4 linked regions of the Macaca fascicularis genome follow. The protein of the gene in region 3 binds, or shares a complex with, the protein of the main gene of each other region. Links are inferred from orthologs where the notes say so. Each region holds a gene or a part of one and is shown on either strand. Other genes may lie near its edges. The genes, in order: GNAI2, GNAQ, CCKBR and GAST.

Evidence for each region.
Region 1: the proteins of CCKBR (region 3) and GNAI2 are in contact, whole or in part, in a cryo-EM structure (PDB 7F8V), measured with the Homo sapiens proteins. The link is inferred for Macaca fascicularis from reciprocal best matches to the Homo sapiens genes CCKBR and GNAI2. Residues at the interface, in NP_795344.1 of Homo sapiens: Thr87, Thr89, Arg152, Ala155, Ile156, Pro159, Leu160, Ala162, Arg163, Val164, Thr167, Ser169, Ile241, Gly248, Leu249, Lys328, Val331, Leu335, His394, Arg396; in NP_002061.1 of Homo sapiens: Glu28, Ala31, Arg32, Glu33, Val34, Lys193, Leu195, Thr220, Phe337, Thr341, Asp342, Ile344, Ile345, Asn348, Leu349, Lys350, Asp351, Cys352, Gly353, Leu354, Phe355.
Region 2: the proteins of CCKBR (region 3) and GNAQ are in contact, whole or in part, in a cryo-EM structure (PDB 7F8W), measured with the Homo sapiens proteins. The link is inferred for Macaca fascicularis from reciprocal best matches to the Homo sapiens genes CCKBR and GNAQ. Residues at the interface, in NP_795344.1 of Homo sapiens: Thr87, Val88, Thr89, Asn90, Glu151, Arg152, Ala155, Ile156, Pro159, Leu160, Ala162, Arg163, Val164, Trp165, Gln166, Thr167, Ile241, Leu245, Gly248, Leu249, Val331, Leu335, His394, Arg396, Phe397; in NP_002063.2 of Homo sapiens: Arg30, Arg34, Asp35, Arg37, Arg38, Leu40, Ser198, Val199, Phe341, Lys345, Asp346, Ile348, Leu349, Gln350, Asn352, Leu353, Lys354, Glu355, Tyr356, Asn357, Leu358, Val359.
Region 4: the proteins of CCKBR (region 3) and GAST are in contact, whole or in part, in a cryo-EM structure (PDB 7XOW), measured with the Homo sapiens proteins. The link is inferred for Macaca fascicularis from reciprocal best matches to the Homo sapiens genes CCKBR and GAST. Residues at the interface, in NP_795344.1 of Homo sapiens: Cys107, Pro114, Asn115, Gly118, Thr119, Phe120, Met134, Gly135, Val138, Tyr189, Gln204, Cys205, His207, Leu222, Val349, Tyr350, Ala352, Asn353, Arg356, Pro361, Ala363, His364, Leu367, Ser368, Ile372, His376, Tyr380; in NP_000796.1 of Homo sapiens: Glu85, Ala86, Tyr87, Gly88, Trp89, Met90, Asp91, Phe92.

What each region holds. Positions count from the first base shown.
Region 1 is NC_088376.1:113,265,877-113,271,097, reverse strand, and holds the start of GNAI2 (guanine nucleotide-binding protein G(i) subunit alpha-2), read right to left. Parts: upstream 3,478-5,221; 5' UTR 3,336-3,477; coding exon 3,218-3,335; intron 1-3,217. UniProt on the Homo sapiens protein: Guanine nucleotide-binding proteins (G proteins) are involved as modulators or transducers in various transmembrane signaling systems.
Region 2 is NC_088389.1:108,683,069-108,688,149, forward strand, and holds the start of GNAQ (guanine nucleotide-binding protein G(q) subunit alpha), read right to left. Parts: upstream 3,547-5,081; 5' UTR 2,832-3,546; coding exon 2,696-2,831; intron 2,522-2,695; exon of another isoform or gene 1-2,521.
Region 3 is NC_088388.1:59,822,356-59,827,447, forward strand, and holds the start of CCKBR (gastrin/cholecystokinin type B receptor), read right to left. Parts: upstream 3,440-5,092; 5' UTR 3,231-3,439; coding exon 3,080-3,230; intron 1-3,079. UniProt on the Homo sapiens protein: Receptor for gastrin and cholecystokinin. The CCK-B receptors occur throughout the central nervous system where they modulate anxiety, analgesia, arousal, and neuroleptic activity.
Region 4 is NC_088390.1:62,755,452-62,760,431, reverse strand, and holds the start of GAST (gastrin), read right to left. Parts: upstream 3,068-4,980; 5' UTR 3,007-3,067; intron 549-3,006; 5' UTR 480-548; intron 1-479. UniProt on the Homo sapiens protein: Gastrin stimulates the stomach mucosa to produce and secrete hydrochloric acid and the pancreas to secrete its digestive enzymes. It also stimulates smooth muscle contraction and increases blood circulation and water secretion in the stomach and intestine.

The sequences.
Region 1 (5,221 bases), on a different chromosome or scaffold from region 3:
TGAAGAACTTTTCTCAGGGTCCCCTCAGTGCTGGTCACCAACCCTGTGGTGGGCCTGTGGGCCCTTGCCACCTGCCCACAGTACGCAAACTGCCACTCAGTTTACTCCTCCATCTACCCAAAATCAGGTTCAGAGGATACTTCCTTCATTCAACAAACAGATGAGAAGCACCCAGTAGATGCCAGGCTCCATGCTGGGCACAGAAATGAAGAGGACTTAGCCCTGCCCTACAGTCTCCAGGCATCTGAGAGGGGAAACAACAGCGCTGGGAGCCAGATGTTTCACCTTGGTTGAAGGAGGATGTCCAGGAAGGATCCTGGGAGGTGATCTGGGAGTAAAGTTTTAAAGAACAATCAAGTAGGGAACAACAGTTCCGCAAAGTTCCAGGGGCAAGAAAGAACTGCTCTGTTTACATTCTGAAGCCTTTATGGAGCCAGTGGTGGACACTGTCTCCTTTTTCTGTGAAGCCGTCCACACAAGCCCATCCCAAATCAGAGACTCTCCCCGCTCACACACACTCTGGCTTCCTTTCCCTTAAGTGCCCAGATTCCACCTGGGCCTAGCTGGTCAATCACATTGAGCTGGGTAGGAGTGGTGAGCATCCCTAGCGCAGGACTGGTATCTGCTCCCCCTACCAAGCTGCCAGGAAATACTCTCTTGCCTGTGTGTACCACATCAGCCTCTACCCTGGTGACAAGAACTGTGCCCGCCTGCTGGCAGAGCTACCCAGGATGGAGGGAGGCGATGTGCAGGCGGGGCAGCAGGCGTGGTTCTGGCTGGGAGGGAAGGCTGGCAGTTGCCCAACCTGAGTCCCGTTGCCTGGACAAAGTCTCCCGCTACATGGGACAGGCGCCCAGAACTCTGAACTTGCCACAGCTGGGCTCCCATCACCACCTTGCACCTGAATGGGAAAGGCATGGCTCAAGCCAGGATCCCTCCCCAGGCAGCCATGGCAGATTGGGTCGTCAATATCGGGCAGAGCTTAGTCAGAGCCCTTTGCAGCACACTGCAGGGTCTTAACTCCCAACCCACATCCCCAACAAGAACCACCAGGAGGCTCTTGTTCTCCCCACCCTGAGCTGGGATACTCCTTTGGCCCAAACCCAGGAAGCCCATTTCACAGAGTAAGCAAAGGCCAGAAGGCCAGGACCCCAGGGTGAACTCCCCAGGCTAGAAAGTGCTAAGCCAGACCCTGCCTCCCTGGCTGCTGCCAGCCCAGTGTGGGAGGAGTTGCCGGGTCTCACTTGACTTAGCCCAAAAGCTGAGCTGGGCTCCAAGGAGCAAGTCTGGTGGGATCGGGGACCCTTCTAGTGTCGGGACACAAAACTAGCCAGAAGCCCTACGTTCCCCCAGCTCTATGGTCCAGTCTTGCATTTCCTCAGTCACCACAGTAGCTGCAATCAGCCTAGGGAGAGGCTGGCTAGAGACTCCTGGCTGGGCACTGGGAGGCAGCGGTACCGGAAGTGCCCTCCCCAGGCCCATCGGGCAGCAGCAGCAGTAGCAGCGATGGGCATTCCGCCGCGTCGACACCCACTCACTGCCGCTGCCGCACTCACAGCAGAGACAGGAAGAGGCAAGCGCCCAACGCAAAGCAGCCCAGGAGGCTGGGCCGCCGCCCCTTCCCGCCCCTTCTCTTCCTCCCTGAGGCAGCAGCGAAGCGGATGCCATTTTGAAACCTCCGAGGCTGTGCCCCGGAGGCTAGGTCCGCAGGGACAGTCAACAGATGGGCCCATAATGAACATACATGCTGTTCCTCGGCCACAGGCCCAGCACGAAAAGCCTTGCTTTTCACAGCCTGGGAGCCCCATGACAGTTCTGAAGCTGAGGGGCCACACCCCCCCAGGCAGTACTCAGCCTACAACGGTGCTGTGCTGTTGCAAGGGCCTCCCTCCCCCGACTCTAAAACCCCCAAATCAAAATCAGACTGCCACTGGGCACCACCCCTACTTCCAGTGGGAGGTTGGATGGGGACAGCCAGTAGGCCCACTGTCTTTGCAAAAGGCCAGCTGGGATGCTCAGAAGCACCCTGGCCCACCCCTAGCTGGCCCCTCAACTCCTCATTCAGCTAGTCCACCATCCCCCTTCACAGGGTCCCAAGATCCAACAAGCCCCCGAACTCTCAGTGGCTACATCCCAGGCCTTGCAGCCCAGAAGGGGTGTGGGCAGCCCAGCACCTACTAGCAGATCTCTTGGGCTCACCCGCAGGGGCAGCAATATGTCGGCTATCTCACCACTTCCACTTCCCCCCACCCCTCTAGCAGCCACCATCTTTCCTGGCCTTGGAGGCGACCACAACCCTAACTCCTCCACACTCTCTCCTACTTCCCAGACTGGCCTTCGAAACTGGAAAACATAGAGCCCGCAGAGCCTCCCTGGGAAGCCTGAGGCCTGGCCCCCTCCCACAGCTTGACCAGTGGAGCCTCAGTCCAGCCCCGTGGGGGTTCTTCGTAAGGCAGCCTAGGCCCTCTCCAATCCGGGGCTCCCTCATCCTAGCCCAGCCCACTTGGTGCAGGAGAGGTGGAAGGATTGGGGAAGGCCAGAGTGTAAGAGGACTTAGTGGAGGATCAGCAGAAGGTTTCGGGAGTGATGCTTGCAGAGACGGATCTGGAGGGCAGGAAGCAGGGAGCAGGGCTCGCTGAAGGGGTTCCAGTTGGAGAGCGGGCTCAAGAGCAGTTTCCCATTCGAGAGGTTCCTTGGGTCAGAACGCACAGGTGGAAGACACAGATTCCAGACTAGGGATGGGGCACAGAGGGAGAAGGAGGGAGTGGGTAGGGGGCCTGGCAGGGGCTCCGCGGGATGCTCATGCCCAACAGGAATAAAAGGCGCAGATGAGGAAAACAAGTGGAGCCTGAGGGTTGGGGAACAAGTGGCGGGCATCCTGGGGGTTTGGGTAAAGTGTAAGGAAGGATGGCGGGGTCTCTGAAGTTCTGTGAAGCTGGTTAGTAAGGGGGGATGGCCAAGCAGGGCACTGGACCGCGGGTGTTGGGGCACTGTTGGCTGGATTTGGAGGTCTGGGATGAGATAGGGATCTGGTCTAGAGTCTGGGCAGGATCGAAGGTCTAGCCCAACCTAGAGTTTTCAACCCTGGTCCTGGCCCAGGTGTGGGGTCCCAGACAGCCCGAGTCTGGGAGTTCGAAGCCCTAGTATGAGAGGTCAAAGTCCTTGTCTGGGGATTCGAGCTGGGAATTAAGGATCCCAGTGCGGGACGCGGCCTCACCCAACAGCAGCAACTTCACCTCCCGCGCCGCCTTCTCTCCGTCCTCCCGCAGGTTCTTGTCGATCATCTTAGAGCGCTCGGCCGCCGCCTTGTCCTCGGCGCTCACTGTGCAGCCCATCCCGCCGTCCGCCGGCCCGGCCGCCGCCCGGCCCCCACACGGCCCACGGCCCGGCTCGGCCCCGCCCGGCCCCGCCCGACCCGCTCCGCTCCCACTACCAGCCCTCTGCGGGAAGCTCTCGGGTCGGCAGTTCAGAGCGTCTGCAGGAGGCGCCTTCCCGACCGCCGCGCACCGACGGCGGGGCGGGCCGGGGGTGGGGCCTGGGCTAACTAAGCCCGGGACTGGGCCGGGGCGGGTCTGGAGGCGGGGCCAGAGGAGATTCGAGGCTGGTGATTGGCTTGAGGGCGGGGCGAAGGGGGAATGAGGCGCAGCCCAGGCTCGGGCCTCGGCTGCAGGCGTGGCCACGCGGAGCAAAGGCAATAGGGGTGGATCCAAACCCAGGGACCCGGCACTGGGCGGGTTGCAGGCGGGGCCGGGCTGTGATTGGGTGCGGAGCGCCGGGAGCTCAGTTGCTGGACAGCCGGGAGGGCGGATCTGTTAGCCCGAGGGTGGGGATCCGGTGCCCTCGAGGACAGAGCAGGAACCAGCGCTCTGAGCTTCTGCGAGTTGGGCGAGTTAGGTGGAGGAGGCGTGTCTTTGTCATTTGTTAAAGTTAATGAGTCCAATAAACTTGTTTTGGAATCTACAGAACTCGGGAGCCTTTCTGGACTGCGGTTTTCTTTGTCTTAAGGCGGTAAACCGCCTTCTCCCTTTGGGTTGCAGCAAATCGAAAAAGAAAAAACAAAGGCCGGGCCCAGGGACTCACGCCAGTAATCCCAGCACTTTTGGAGGCCGAGGCGGGCGGATTACTTGAGATCAGGAGTTCGAGACCAGCCTGGCCAACATGGTGAAACCCCGTCTCTACTAAAAATACAAAAATTAGCTGGGCGTGGTGGTGGGCGCCTGTAATCCCAGCTACTCAGGAGGCTGAGGCAAGAGAACTGCTTCAACCCGGGAGGCAGAGGTTGCAGTGAGCCGAGATCACGCCATTCATTGCACACCAGCTTGGGCGACAGAGCAAAACTCCATCTAAAAAGAAAAAAAGCCGGGCGCGGTGGCTCAAGCCTGTAATCCCAGCACTTTGGGAGGCCGAGACGGGCGGATCACGAGGTCAGGAGATCGAGACCATCCTGGCTAACATGATGAAACCCCGTCTCCACTAAAAATACAAAAAACTAGCCGGGCGAGGTGGCGGGCGCCTGTAGTCCCAGCTACTCGGGAGGCTGAGGCAGGAGAATGGCGTGAACCCGGGAGGCAGAGCTTGCAGTGAGCTGAGATCCGGCCACTGCACTCCAGCCTGGGCGACAGAGCAAGACTCCGTCTCAAAAAAAAAAAAAAAAAAAAAAAAAGGGCCGGGCGCGGTGGCTCAAGCCTGTAATCCCAGCACTTTGGGAGGCCGAGACGGGCGGATCACGAGGTCAGGAGATCGAGACCACCCTGGCCGACACGGTGAAACCCCGTCTCTACTAAAAAAAAATACAGAAAACTAGCCGGGCGAGGTGGCGGGCGCCTGTAGTCCCAGCTACTCAGGAGGCTGAGGCAGGAGAATGGCGTGAACCCGGGAGGCGGAGCTTGCAGTGAGCTGAGATCCGGCCACTACACTCCAGCCTGGGCGGCAGAGCGAGACTCCGTCTCAAAAAAAATAAATAAATAAATAAATAAAAATAAAATAAAAAAATAAAAAAATAAAAAATAAAAAGAAAAAAAAAAAAGTTGATTTCCATCTTTACACCTTTGCCTAGGCTGTCTCCTTTAGCTGGGTGACTTCTCATATCCATCCTTCCCCAACCTACCAGGAGGCATTCTTCTGCAGGCAGCCATCCTGGACTCCAATCTGGGACCAGGCAATCAGGACCCAAGGGAGAAAGGGAGAGAGGGTGAGAGGGTGGAGACGGAGGAAGAGGGGA
Region 2 (5,081 bases), on a different chromosome or scaffold from region 3:
TACTTGCCTTTTTAAATGTCTCCATATTATTAATATACAAAAGTAAATAATTGTATGAGCAAATGCAAGGGTACCCACTTTTATCCCTGTCAAACAAATCCTTTTCCATTAAAATGGCATCAAGTCTTGAACTAAAATTTACTTTGAAAACAATTTTATACTGAATTTCATTTCAAAATACAGTTATTCCTCCATAAACTGGTTAAAAATATTAGTAGATCTTTAAACTGTGAATGGATACATTCTATAATCTCCTCTGGACAGGTTTTGTTTAAATGATAGAAGGAACCAGAACATTCAGTCTACTCATCAAAGCAGCAAATCAGGAATTCCTCAAATGAAATCCTTCCCTAATATCTTCCTTGTTGAAATCAACCATCCTGGATTCAAAAACTCCTGAAATCACACTCATACACACACATGCACGCACAAATCCACATTTAGCGTACATTACTATATAGTGTATTGTGGTATTTATGTTGCAAAGGCAACATACCAAGAACATGAAGCAGTAACAATACTTGCATGATGTTCCGCGAATAAGAGGAAAAAAAAGTTCTCCACACTACCACCACTTTAGCAGTAAAACTGGTTTACACTTTTTCTCAGAAAATTATCTCCAAGTTCATTTTTAAAAGCACAGTGTTATTTAAACACACAGTATGGAATTAAGCATCCATGTAAGTGTATTTCCCTTAAACATTCAAACCTAGGCCCATTGACAAACCGGTTCCCTGGGCTTCAACTCTTAGCTGCTGGGAAACTCAGAGCTGTCACTTTTCAGGCAAACAGGGTTGGCTGGAGAGACCTCAACTGCCCAGTTCACAGTTAAACAGAAACAAAGACTGTCAACAGGGCAACAGAAGAAACAAAACAATTCTTAAAACAAGTCTCTCTAAAATACGTGCTTTTCCCCTTAATCATGCACTTAAACACTCTACATATTTCTTTTGTTCTTTATTTTCTTCTCAATCTTGAGAACTCAGAAAACATTCAACTGCCTGTTTTCAGCCATTAGAAGTAGCTCAAAATGAGAATTAAAAAAAAAAAAAAAAAATCTTTACTTTCCAACTGCAGTTTGCCTCCTCCCTGGCTTCATTCCCCTAAGCCCACCTCTTTCATCTAGTGTTTCGCCTTCAGTTCTTTATAAACATGTGCCCATTTATCTGAGTTTCAAAATGAAGACATAAAGCATGTCATGTGAATTAACCATTAGTAACTATGTGTGTGATCAGTATATTTTGTTCCTGCTTGTAAATGATCCAGTACATAAGCAGTTCATTCCCAAAGGCAATTGGTTCCTTGAGCCAGCAAATGGAATGCTCAAGATAAGAAAGAAAATGCATGCTTCTCAAACACCAACTGACAGTACAATATTCTTTTCTTACAGAAATGTTTGAGAAACACATTTATTATACATGCAAATATCCAGAACACAAGACATTTTTCAGGCCTGTTACTGCAAAGCTGTTTGCTCTTCCCACCACAATAGCTCAGGGTTCTGTCACTGTGGCTTGTATGTGAATCCTGATCGCTTGATTCTGAACATCCTCTCTGAGATAATCATCAATAAATTTCTATTTGAGAAATGGCATTTTCTTGCTAACTTAGAGCTAAAGCAGAATTTTTTTTCAAGACTAGAGGAAAATTTTTCCTGTATGCTTCCCGTTTTCCTTCTAGCCCAGATTCCAAAGATATTAAAATGCTATGTGTTTTAAACAAAAGGTTTCTATTTGTTGCCAAGAGAGTAACTGAGAGACTGCACTGGTTTTCGGCAGTAACTATTGTGAATTCAGGCCTACATCTGGGTTGCCTCATTAAACAAAAGATACCGGTCGCTGTCAACAACCACACAGCACAACACTCCCCTACCCTCATCTTTATCTAGAAGCAATGGTGCAGACGAGAATCACGCCTGTCACCATCCACTAGCCAAGAAACTCTTCTAGGCTCCCTCCTTTCGATGGTCTGGTGGCTAGAGAACAGCACTTCTGTGACACATTTGGGCTCGCCCTCCCGCCCCGCCCCCAATACACAGGCCCTTTCCTTGGAGGGCCAACCACTTGGCTTCCTCATCATCAGTGCTCCGGGAATCCAGTTGCGAGTCTGCCCACCGTTCCCCCATTCCCTCCTGACCCCAGAGGGCACTGATAATAGATGGACACCGGCCACCCCACCGCAGGCCATCTCCCAACGTGCCCCAGCTCCGCTCGCCACCCGCTGGGCCACACACACGGCTCCCCGCGCCACCACCCCATGGGATGCCGCGGCCACGACACTGGAAGTTCAACCCCTCTGCCCACCTTTCCACCCCCGCGCCTCTGGCCGGAGTGATCTGCCATTTAGCAGATGCACAGCAGATAAGGCACAGCCCTCAGGGACCCAAAAAGAAAAAAGCCGAGACACCCGCCAGGGCAGCCGCGACCCCTCTGCTGCGTGTGTGTATCTGGGTGTGTGTGTGTGTGTGTGTGTGTGTGTAACGCGCCTGCGTGTGTGTATCTGGGTGTGTGTGTGTGTGTGTAACGCGCCCGCGCGCCCGCGCGGGTGAAGGCAGTGGCCGGGGGCGCGCCCGGGAGGGTAGGGGCTAGCCGGGGGCGCCGGGGGGCGGGGGACGCCGAGAGGGCAGCTGTCCCGCAGGGCCAAGGATGGTGGGCTGGGGGCGCAGAGGCCCGGCGGGGCCCCGGGCGGTACTCACCGAGCAGCAGCAGCTTGAGCTCCCGGCGGGCGTCCCGCTTGTCCCTGCGGAGCTGCCGCTCGATCTCGTCGTTGATCCGCCGGGCTTCCTTGGCCTCCTCGCTCAGGCAGCACGCCATGATGGACTCCAGAGTCATTCTTCCAAAGTGCCTCCGCTGTAGCCCCGCCGGCACCCCCTGCTCACAGCGCGCACACACACCCTCCCGCCCTCGCTCCCCCGAGGCAGCGGTAGCCGCCGAGCCCCCGCCGCCCGGGCGCGCGGCCGGGACGAGCTCCGGGAACCGCCGCGGGGGCAGCGGCCGGAGCCGGAGCCACCAGGTGGGCCGGGGGCGCGGTGGGAGCGGATGGCCTGGGCCGACGGGAGAAGCGAGGCGGGCGCGGGAGGCGGGCGCTGGCTCGGGGGGCGCGTGAGAGAAGGCCGCCGCGCCCGGCCTCGCTCAGACGCCCGCGCCTCCTTCCCCAGGAACGGGCGGCCCGCCTCGCCCCCCGAGCCGCCGCCGCCGCCGCCGCCTGCGAGGCTCCCCTACGCCGTGCGCCTGGCGGCGAGAGCTCATCCACCGGGGTGTCCCCGCAGCGAGCGGCCGCCGACGGCTCCCCGCGCCCGGCGCGCCCGCTCCTCGCCGCCGCCTGACACGGCTCCCGGGCGCCTTCGGCCCTGTCCGCGCCCACCGCCCGGCTCGCGCGCAGACCCGGTTCCCGGCCCGCCCGGCAACCGCGCGCTCCTCCGCCTCCGCCTCCGCCTCCGCCCCCGCCAGACGCCCACCCCCTGCCCCGATTGCCAGGCGCGGAGCGGCTGCTCAGTGCGCGCCCTCCCCCTCGCCACACACACACATTTTCTTCTTTCTCTGAACTGGAGCACAGATCCGGGAGGGAGGAGGCGGCGGCGAAAGGAGGAGGGGAGGAGGCGGAGGGGACGGGCGCGGGAGGAGGGGAGCCGGGAGGCGGTGCCGCCCGGCCCCTCCTGGAAGGCTTTCCTGGGCTCGCGGCCGCCGCGGCGCGCCTCCCAGTGCGGCTCTCGCCTCGCCCGCGCGGCTCCCGGGCTGGGCCGGCTCTCTCGGGCTCTGCGGACGCCCACTGCTCCCGTACCCTCGGCAGAGCCCGCTGGCGCCGCGGTCACGGCCGCCCCCGGCCGCCGACGTGCAGCCCGAGCCGGCGGTCGCCGTTGCGTGCTAGGACCGCCGCCGACCTGCGGTTGCCGTCCGGCCGGGCGTGGTGAGGCGGGAAAATGGCGGTCTCTGCCTGCCTCAGCCCACCGGCCCGGGAGCGCGGCCGCGGCCCCTGCTGAAGTCGCGGGAGGCGGCCCCGCGGAGCCCCGCACGCGCTCCCTGCGGCGCCGGCGCTGGCGTCCGCGGCTCCCGCGCTGTGCCTGTGTGCTCCGCGGGGACGCTCCTCAGCCGCTTCTGTGTTTCCCGTTCCTATTTCTAAAACGCCATTCGGTTAGAAACTCTCGTGTCACCTCTGACCCCGGTGCAGTCTTAGAAAATAAGATCCTCTATACTGTGGGGGGCAACTGGGGAAGGGAAGGAATTGGCACCGGTGCCCGGAGGCACAGGGGGAGATTCACAGGCGAAGCTGTCCGCAAAGTAACGAGATAGAAATCTAAATCCTGAGCAGAGAAAGGAAGCTGCCCAAGTTTCCAGCAGCCTCCCGATAGGTTCCAACTTTTCATGCCTTTGTTTTTTTGGTGGTGGTTGGTTGTTTCTGTTTTTTTTTTAAGTTGTTTTTGTTTTTGTTTCACAAGTTCTCTTGTTTCTGACAAGGCACACAATGTTTAACCGCCGAGTAATCGAATTTACCCTTCTAGACTGAGATTGAATTATGGATGACTTATGGGAAAATGTTAAATAATATGAAATAAACGGAAAGGAAACAATGAAATAGAAGAGAAACTAAGGTGGCCCCAGCAAAGTGGCATTCTAGTTTTTTTGGTTTGCAATATTTGATTGAGGCAGTTAAGTGTCGTGTGCATATTTCATTGTGATCGTCTGCTGATAAATAGCACACGAAAATAATCTCGTTCAATCAGGTCCAGGAGGTGAAACTCATACTGCTTCCTGCCTTAAAGGAACCTGAGATCTTCAAAGAAAATTGTCTTTTATGACGAGAACCGCTTTTTCACGTTTCATGTGTTCTCTGAAGTGTCCCTGGTGCAACCTGCTGATTCAGAGTGTAAGGTATGGTCATGACTTTGCTTTTGCTACAGATCAAGAATTCATATAGGGTTCTTAGACAACAGGTGTGTAACTTCCTTCTTTCTTTCATTTGCCATTACTCCACCCTTTCACACACATACACTCTAAACCAGAATTTAAATCAAGCAAGTCAAGATACAAAATGTACATTTTAGGTTCTCTCTTTAAAACCTAGAAAATAATTAAATTTCACCT
Region 3 (5,092 bases):
CTATCTGAGTGAACATGGGTAATACTCAAGTCTGCATGGATTATATAAGAAGAATAAAGTGGTAACATCCAAATTTCTATTGGTAACATTGGAGTGAACCTGGGTAACATATGCATCTGTGGGGATAATATCTGAGTGAGTGTGGCTGACAGGGTCTCTGTGTGTAACATCTGACTGGCTGGGTAATATCCGAATGTGTGAGAAGCATTTAGATAAGTGAGGCAAATTTTTGCACCTGTGCTCTGAATTGCTTCACATCCCGCTTTCACAGGGACTCTTCTCTATTGACTATCCCCTTTCTTATCTGCACCTTCAATCTTCCTCTCTTGGCCCAATCAACATCAAACACTTTTAAAAGCTCTTGTTTTAAAATGTGTGCACGCACACACAACAAACCTACACATATACCCGCCCCCCTACCCCAACCCAGCTGCCTCAATCTCATGCTATTTTTGGCAATATCCTGGTTTTCTCTCTCTCTCTCTCTCTCTTTCTCTCTCTCTACCAAACATTTGAAAGTTTTGGCTATATACCCTGGTTCACTTCTCATAACTCCCTCTCCCACCAGCCCAATCTTCAACTTACTATAGTCAAGCCTCAATACCTACAACTCCTAAATATTTTCTTGTTACTGAATCTGAAAGATGCTGTTCTGACTGTCCTGTTTTTTATTTATCTAACTTACATCAATAGCATTTGACATCGCTTACCCCAACCTGCTTGAAACTCTCTTTTTCTTGCTTTCTGGAAGGGCATAGCTCCTGCCTTTCTGACGGTTTCATCTGAATCTCCTTCATAAATTCTCCTTTCTCTGCCTGGGTTTTAAATAATGGTCTTATGCAGAGTCTTGACCCAGGACTTATTTTCTTCTCGTTCTATACAAAATATTATGATTTTAACTATTCTCATGGCTTCTACCTCCTGTAGGCAAATACCTTCAAGTCTGTATTTCCACCTCAGACCTCTCCTGTAAGTTCCAGACCCCTGGATTCAATAGCTTACTAGGTAACCTCACCTGGATGATCCCACTAACATTTAGACTCAATGGGTTCCAAACTGAATTCATAATTCCTTCTTCCAAACCTATTTCTGCTGTTTTGTTATCTTGCTCATTGTATACAATTGCTATAGCACCAATATCCATTCAATTGTCCAAGTTAGAAATCTGAATGTCATCCCTTGACCTCTTCCATCCTCTCTGCTTCTAATCTGTTGATTCCATTTCCAGAAAAGGCTCTCAAATCTATACACCTCTCTCTGTCCCCCTTGCCATTACCGTAGTCTCAGCTGGCATCATCTTTCACTTAAACCAGTGTAATATAGTAACCTTCTAAAGTACCCCCCTGCCTTCCATCTCATGTCTTCCAATCCATTCTCCACATTATAGAACTAATCCTGGTAGTGCTACTGAATCTTTTAGTAGTTCCTATTGCCCTCAGGATAAAGTCCACATTCCATGGTCAGGTCTAATAGGCTCTCTGCAAACTCTCTAGGCTGGTCTCCAGCCTGTTCATTATTCCCTTCTTAAGATATATGTTGTAGCCACTCAAAACTATGTCACAGTGGATAAAAGTGCCATGAATTCAAACTTGGAGCTTTTTATACATCTTTTATTTGGGATGCTTTCTGCCTCTTCTGCCTGTTTACTTGACTGACTCTCATATATATATATATATATATATATATATATATACACACACACACATACACACACACACACACACACACACACACACACACACACACACACACACTTTTCTTTTTTTTCCAACAGGAAGCTTAGAGCCAATCTCCCTAATTTTTTTCACTCTGTATCTCATTTCCTTAAGAGGCCAACCTTAATTCTCACGGAGGCTAGGCTGGGCTAGAGGTGCTCCACTTGTGTTCCCACTATCTTTTCCCTATCAAGGCTCTTCCACTTTGTGCTTCTATCCCCTGCTTGTCTGTCTCACCCATTAAGCTTTGAGCTCTGTGAAGTAGGAATTGTGTCAGTTTTGTTCAACTTACATTCCCACTGCCTAGCACAATCTCTGGTTCAATAAATATTGGCTGAATGACAAATCCAAGTGTGAGTGTGTAACAAATGGGCTGAGAAAGCATAGATTATTTCATGGGGTAAATACTTGGATTACAATTTATTCCAACTTTCCCTTCTCAAGTTTAGAAAAATTTATTTCCTTCACTAGAATCCCATCCTTCCTTTTCTGCCCACTCAACTTCAAGACCCAGCTCCAAGATTCTAGCCTCTGTGAAGTTCTTTTGGTGCCCACAGTTTAAACCTTTTCATGGGATTTCCACTGTGTCTGTGATTTTTCCATTTGCTTTTTTCTCTCTGCACTTGGCTATGGGTCATGAGGGACCAGACTGGGTCTAGTTTGCCTTGTACCCCCAGCACCTAGTCTAGGGCTGAAGAGGGAGCTTGGAAGATAGCTGGAGACATTACTTGCAGACAAAGAGAGAGGGCACAGAGCCTTGAAAGCTCCAACTAGGGAGGCAGAGGGGTTTGAGGAGTGAAATGGAGACAGGCAGTTTTAAGGGGCATCTCCTAGTGTCCAGCCTAAATCAGATTTGAGGATCTTTTTTTGGGATGCCTGGGGGCTGAGGTGTCAGATGTGATCACATCTTCGGTTTCCCATTCAAGCTTTCCAGAGTGCTCCCTCCCTCAACCAGCCCCCTTCTTTTCCCAATCCTGCCTTCCTTTCTTCCTTCCCTTCTCTGTTGTGGCTTTGTGAACTGGATGTAAGAGGGAAAAGGAGATCTGCAGGGTTGGCAAGAGGAGCTCCTCGCCTTCTAACTGGTGTCTAGGAGGGGCTGCGTGTTGGGGAAGGGGCTGTGCTTTGGGGCAAGCAGCGGCTCTGGGTGTAATCAGGGGACCAGGATGTGAAGGAGTTCCGACCAGGTGGTGTGAAGCTATGAACCTGTGAGCTGTGGGGGTGAAGGTGTGAGAGGAGCTGTTTGGGGGCTGAGGGGCACGGTGTGGGCGTTTGAGGAGATAGTGTGGAGCTCGTGGGGGGACTCTATTAGTGTTCTGGGGTACAGTGAGAAAGAGCTTGTGGAGGGGGATGAGGGGGGCACCCACCTCGTGTCCCGGCTCCGCGAATGCGAGGGGGCTCGCAGCTGAGGTTGCCCACACTGCTGCTGTTGAGGAGAGGCGCCGCCGGGCGGCACAGGGAAGCCCCCGGCCCGGGTCCGGTTCCCTGCACGCTCCGATTCAGCTTTAGCAGCTCCATGGCCCCGGCGGAGCCCGCCGCCTTACTCTGCTCGGCCTGGCGGGCTCCCACCGCGGCTCCACCTGCTCACGCTGCGATGGGCTCAGGCTCCCACCGCCCTCCTTCCCCGCCTCCCTGCCCCCCCTGGTCTCCGCCCCCAGCCCAGGCGCCTGCCCTTCCACTCTCCCGCGGCTCACCCCGCCTCGGTTCCCGTCCCTCCGCCAGCCTCTGTCCCACCAGGTGACTGTGCACCCCCTCCCGGGCTCGGGAGTTCTGCCCCTCCCTGTGCGACTGTCCTCCAGGCTCGCCCCCTCCCTAGATCTGTCCTGTCTCCTCTTAGAGATTTCTCTCCTGCCCACCTCTCTTTATCACCCGCCCCCACCCTCGATTCCCCGGAATGACAGAGAGAGAGAGAGAGAGAGAGAGAGAAAGAAAGAGAGAGAGAGAGAGAGAGAGAGAGAGAGAGAGAGAGAGAGAGAAGACAAGAGTATTGGCAGCGTAGCGGGAGGTTTTGGGGAAGGGAGGGTAGGAGGCGTTGGGTAGAGACGGCTGCCACGGATCCAACATCTTTCTCTGGTGTATCAGGGAACGTGGAGGTGGCGTTGGAGACCGGGTCTGCGTGCGTCACCTGCTGAGGCGCGGATGCTTTAGTCTGCACCTAGAGCCGCATTTATGGTACTGTGTTGCAGTGACCGCAGTGACCGTGACACTATTGCTACCGTAGTTCCCTGCAGCTCCTCGCTGCGGGACTAGGGTAGCTCCTGCATCTGTCTCCGCAACCTTCACCTCCTATCGGAGGCTCAACACTCAGGCTTCCACTTAAGGTTCCCAAGGAGCCCTCCACAGCTGGGCGGGAGTGGGGGTGGGGCCAGGATTTGGCTCCAGGGGAGGCTTGCCAGGGGAAAGGGCTCCCGGGAGGCAGCTTCTGACTTGGGTGTTGAGGGCAGTTGGGGGTGGTGGCAAGAGCTGACAAGGATAAACCCGAGTAACGTGAAGATGGGATATAATTCTAACGCCGGCCCAGCGCAGACAAAAGAGGAGGAGACGGTTGGCTTTCTCCACCGTCTCCAGGCAGCGCCCACGCCCACCCGACACGCTAACGGCTCCCTGTTTACTCTCAGTGCAGGCAGAGCTGCCTGTGTAGGGTGTCAGGTTCCCACGAGTGGGGGCTGGAAGGGGACTGGGTCACTGGGGTGCAGCGGGAACAGGGCTGAAGGGTGCAGGACTGAACTGGGTTCATCTTCTCAGGGCAGGATTTGCCTCTTCTACTATTTCAGCCCTGCTCCTTATGCATTCTCCTATCCATTCCTTTTCTTCCCCAGATTCCTATCTCCAGATTCCTATCCATTCTTCAGATTCCAGATGAACTCCAATACGATGTGAAATTCTGTCTTTTGACCCCCAGCAGTAGCTGTAAGAGGTGGGGGGCGGGCATCAGTGGAAGAGCAAATTAGAGAATGGAGTCTGGCTTTATGGGGGATTCAGCAGGCCTTTATCCAATCAATCTTTTGGAGAGGACCTGGTTCAGCCAGCTCTGAGTTTATAGGGGCTGAAGCATTGAAAGAGAGTTGAAAGACAGTTTATGCCTGAGATGTCGTCAACTGCCCCTCCTTCCCTTCCTCCTGGCACTGCCTGTCTTGCCCATCAGAGAGCCTGGACCAGACGAGCTTGATTTCCTATTTGTTCAACTCCAGCGCAGGTGAGGCCTCAGATAACCTGCTCAAGTTTTCCCACATTGGATGGCAGTACGATGAGGAGGGAAGGGAGCAAAGGACATAAGGGAGAGGGGAGTGAAAATAGAAGTAGATGAACATTCACTTAATTAGCAAACTATGCCAGTTCTAGGGGTGTGCATTAGTTGTCCAATATAGTTTGCCCCTGAG
Region 4 (4,980 bases), on a different chromosome or scaffold from region 3:
CCCACATAGGCCCAGAGGCAGGGGACTGAGCGATGTGGCTCCAGGCCTCTACCTGCTGATGAGTCTGCAATTTTTTTTTTTTTTTTTTGAGACAGAGTTTCCCTCTTGTTGCCCAGGCTGGAGTGCAGTGATGGGATCTCGGCTCACTGTAACCTCTGCCTCCCAGGTTCAAATGATTCTCCTGCCTCAGCCTCCAGAATATCTGGGACTACAGGCATGTGCCACCATGCCTGGCTAATTTTTGTAATTTTTAGTAGAGACGGGGTTTCACCATGTTGGCCAGGCTGGTCTCAAACTCCTGACCTCAGGTGATCCACTTGCCTCAGCCTCCCAAATGCTGGGATTACAGGCGTGAACCACCGCGCCCAGGTGAGTCTGCAATTCCATGTGGAGTTGTGGACTATTTCTTCAGTTAAATTCTCCAGTTTCTGCCGGTTCCACGCCAGCCCCAAAGTCTCGTGTTTTTTCTCTTTACTTACCCTTATTACAGCCACTGCTTCTCTTGGAGAAAGTCAAATCCTAGGGCAATGGTTTTCCTAGGTTCTGTTCTGCAGAATTTGAGGCCATGTTAGTGGCTCTGTAGTTGTTTAAGTCATGTAATTTATTTATTTATTGAGACAGGGTCTCACTCTGTCACCTAGGCTGCAGTGCAGTAGTGCAATCACTGCTCACTGCAGACTATACCTCCTGGGCTCAGGTGATCCTCTCACCTCAGCCTCCAGAAGAGCTGGGACTACAGGCTTGCACCACCGCGTCCAGCTAATTTTTTTGTATTTTTTGTAGAAATGGGGTTTCACCATGTTGCCCAAGCTAGTCTTGAACTGTTGGGCTCAAGCAATCCTCCCACCTCAGCCTCCCAAAGTGCCGCGATTACAGATGTGAGCCACTGTGCTTGGCCCAAGACTTGTTATTTAAAGTGAACTTTTTAGGCCAGGCATGGTAATCCCAGCACTTTGGGAGGCTGAGGAGGACAGATCCCTTGAGCCCACAAGTTTGAGACCAGCCTGGGCAACATACCGAATCCCATCTCTACAAAAAATACAAAAATTAGCCGGGCATGGTGGCATGCACCTGTATTCCCAGCTACTTGGGAGGCTGAGGTGGGAGGAACCCTTGAGCCCTGGAGGTGGAGGTTGCAGTGAGCCGAGATTGCACCACTGTACTCCAGCCTGGGCGACAGAGTGAGACCCTGTCTCAAAAAAACAAAAACAAAAAGTGAAACTTTTAAATAGGAATACCAAAGGAACATAGACATCCAACTGTGTTACAGACCGCATGTTATCACTTTGGAGACTGCAGCACATTCAACGCTTGGCCAGCTCACACTGCTTTTTTGTGCGGCCCTGAGAGGAAAGGTTCTCCAGTCATTTTTGCTTAACTGAGGAATATCCTGTGATTATAATGAAGCAGTTAAGAAAAAATTAAGCTGTCACCATTAGCAATTATGTATCAGGGTGAATCCAGTTTGGGGAAAAGATATAATACAGAACTAAACTGGAATCTCAAACAAACGTAAAATTCAAATGGTCATCTGTTCCCCGGACTCACGATTTTTGTATTCTTTTAGTCTCATTATTCTGATTGGCTTTATCATAAGAAAATGATAAAAATTTTCTCTTGTCAGAATACATTTATATTAATAAAGTACTGCTTTTAAGTTTTTCTTTTTTTCTTTTTGTGAGACAGAATCTTGCTCTGTCTCCCAGGCTGGAATGCAGTGGCTGGAGTGATCCTGGCTCACTGCAGCCTCGACTTTTTGGGCTCAAGAGGTCCTCCCACCTCAGCCTCCTGAGTAGCTGGGACTACAAGTGTGCACTACTATGCCCAGCTAATTTATTTGTTTTTATTTTTAGTAGAGATGAGGTCTCACTATGTTGCCCAGGCTGGTCTGGAACTCCTGAGCTCAAGTAATCTGCTTGCCTCAGCCTCCCAAAGTGTTGTGATCACAGGCATGAGCCACGGTGCCTGGCTATTAAGTTTTTCATAATGAGGTTCTCTGTTAGGTTTTCCTTGGAAGAAAAGAATTCTGCTGCTGAAGAAACGTTTGAAAACTCAGTGATCTGGAGCTGTACTGTCAGATGCTAACCACACGTTGGTTGTTCAGTGTTGTAGCCACCAATCACGTGTGGCTCTTTACATTTAAATTAATTAAATTAAAAAATTACAGCCAGGTGCAGTGGCTCACGCCTGTAATCCCAGCACTTTCAGAGGCCGAGGGGGTCGGATCACTTGAGGTCAGGAGTTTGTGACCAGCTTGGCCAACATGGTGAAACTCTGTCTCTACCAAAAATATAAAAAATTAGCCGGGTGTTATGGCAGGCGCCTGTAATCCCAGCTACTCAGGAGGCTGAGGCAGGAGAATTGCTTGAACCTGGGAGGCGGAGGTTGCAGTGAGCTGTGATCACGCCACTGCACTCCAGATTGGGTGACACAGCAAGACTCTGTATAAAAAACAAACAACAACAACAACAACAACAAACTTCCTTACACCAACCCCATTTCAAGCACACACGTGGCTAGTGGCTACCATATTGAACAGTGCAGATAAAGAACATTTCCCGCATCATAGGACGTTCTTTTGGATGGCAGTGGTCTAGGAAAGGGCTTGAAGTGGGATCCAGGAGCTGTGGATTCCCATCCCAGCCCTGCCTAAAAATCCCTGTGACTTTGGGCAAGTCACATCTTGCCTCTGGGCCTCAGTTTTCTCACCTAAGAGAGAGGAGAAGAACCCCAGTCCTCCTCACCTCCCAGGGGAGGAGTGTGAAGGGAGAGGTTAAGGGCAGAGCCCCGGCTGGGACAGAGGGCAGGTGGAAGGCAAGGCTGGGAATACAACGGTAGGTACTGGAGCCAAGACCTAGTTCCATCCTGGGATAAAGAAAGGGTCCCAGCTCTGGGGACTCCAAGGGGTGAGCCCCAGACTCTGGCCAGTGGCCTGATACCTTGATGGGGGAGAGGACCTGTCAACCCACTTCCCAGCCTCTCCCCTCTCCTCCTGGGTTTTCTCACCTGCAGAGCTGGGAGGTGTGTGGTGTGGCGGTTGGGCCTGGTGCCTCTCAGGTCTCTGTTCTGCCTGGTGTTCCAGGCCTGCCTTATAAAGCCCTCGAGGTCCCTCCCAACTGTGCCCCCCCACCCCTACCCTGCCATATGAGTCCAGGCGAGAGGAATGGGGTGGGGCACAGGTACAGCCCATCGTCCTGCCCCGCCCTGTCATTTAGTGTCAGTCAGTCATCCAGGATGTGGGGGAAGGATAGGGGAGTTGACCTTCATGGTGAGGGGCTGGAGCGGGGTGGTGGCAGCTCTCCAGCTGTACCTAAGGGGCAGGAACCAAGCTCCCTTGGTCAGGAGCAATGCTCCCCACCTATCCTGGGGGTCAGAGGCCTGGTACTCATCTCTCAAACTACGTAGGGACTTTTGTGGGTGGTGGTAGGTGAGGGAGTGAACCCGATGGGCTTAGATTCAGGGAAAGTAGATTTCACCATCCACTGATGTTTGATGAGTGTGTGAATGTGGGGTGATGTATTGATTCCCCGTCCCCTCCACTGGACTCTGCAAATACAACGTGTTACCAGGAGCAATGGATTGTGGGCTGATGGCCCTGTTCTCTCCTTCTGGTGGCTCACATCCTGGTCACCTCTGAAGCCCCTTCACCCTCCCCCTACCATGGAACACCCTCGGCGCCTTCTTCTCCTTAGGCCTTCTGTGCTGGTGTGAGTTTGGCTTGTAGCTGCCCCACATCTCCCAGGTCAGCTGCCCATGCACCACCACCTGCAAACCCCCTATGCAGAGCCAATTCCTGGGGGGTCCTGCCTCTCAAGTCTCCTTCATTTTGCTTTCAGGGGAGCTAGTAATCTGCAAAACAACCTTTTTTTTTTTTTTTTTTTGAGACAAAGTCTAGCTCTGTCACCAGGCTGGAGTGCAGTGGTGTGATCTCAGCTCACTGCAACCTCCACCTTCCAGGTTCAAGCAATTCTTCTGCCTCAACGTCCCAAGTAGCTGGGATTACAGGTGCACGCCCCCACACCTGGCTAATTATTATTATTATTTTTTTTTTTGAGATGGAGTCTCACTCTGTCCCCCTTGCTGGAGTGCAGTGGCCGGATCTCAGCTCACTGCAAGCTCCGCCTCCCGGGTTCAGGCCATTCTCCTGCCTCAGCCTCCCGAGTAGCTGGGACTACAGGCGCCCGCCACCTCGCCCGGCTAGTTTTTTTGTATTTTTTAGTAGAGATGGGGTTTCACTGTGTTAGCCAGGATGGTCTCGATCTCCTGACCTCGTGATCCACCCGTCTCGGCCTCCCAAAGTGCTGGGATTACAGGCTTGAGCCACCGCGCCCGGCCAATTTTTTGTATTTTTGGTAGAGATGGGGTTTCACCATGTTGGGCGGCCTGGTCTCGAACTCCTGACCTCGTGATCGGCCCGGCTCGGTCTCCCAAAGTTCTGGGATTACAGGTGTGAGCCACCATGCCCAGCCAACAACTTTTCAGTGTCAAAGTATACCTTCAAATGGTTAGCAAACAGACTAAAGCATTTGCCGAAGATGGACCAGAAAACAAAACGGCACTTTGTTGACTTATTCGATAAACTGCTGCCTCCACATGGTTTGACCGGATGTAATGAGTTGTAGGCTGTTTTTGATTTTTCCACCGTTGAGAGCAAAGATTTTGCTTCTGTTCATGCGTCATCAGGCCCCCTCCTTTTCTGGGAGAGTTTGATTCCCCTTGGGTCTTGGGTAACGGCTGTGGTACCCACGCTCACAGCCAGCCTTGTTGAGAATTAATGGGTGATGAAGGAAGCAGGCTGTGCGGTGTCCATGGCAACCGACGGCTGAATAACCGTTGTGAATAACCACTCTGATCCAGAGCAGGACACGGTGACTCAGCAGATGGAATTAATGAAAATGACAAAAAGCAGTGCAGGCATTGGTGATGATTAATTGAATCACAGAATCTCAGAGATGGAAGGACTTTGAGGGGGCTTGGGAG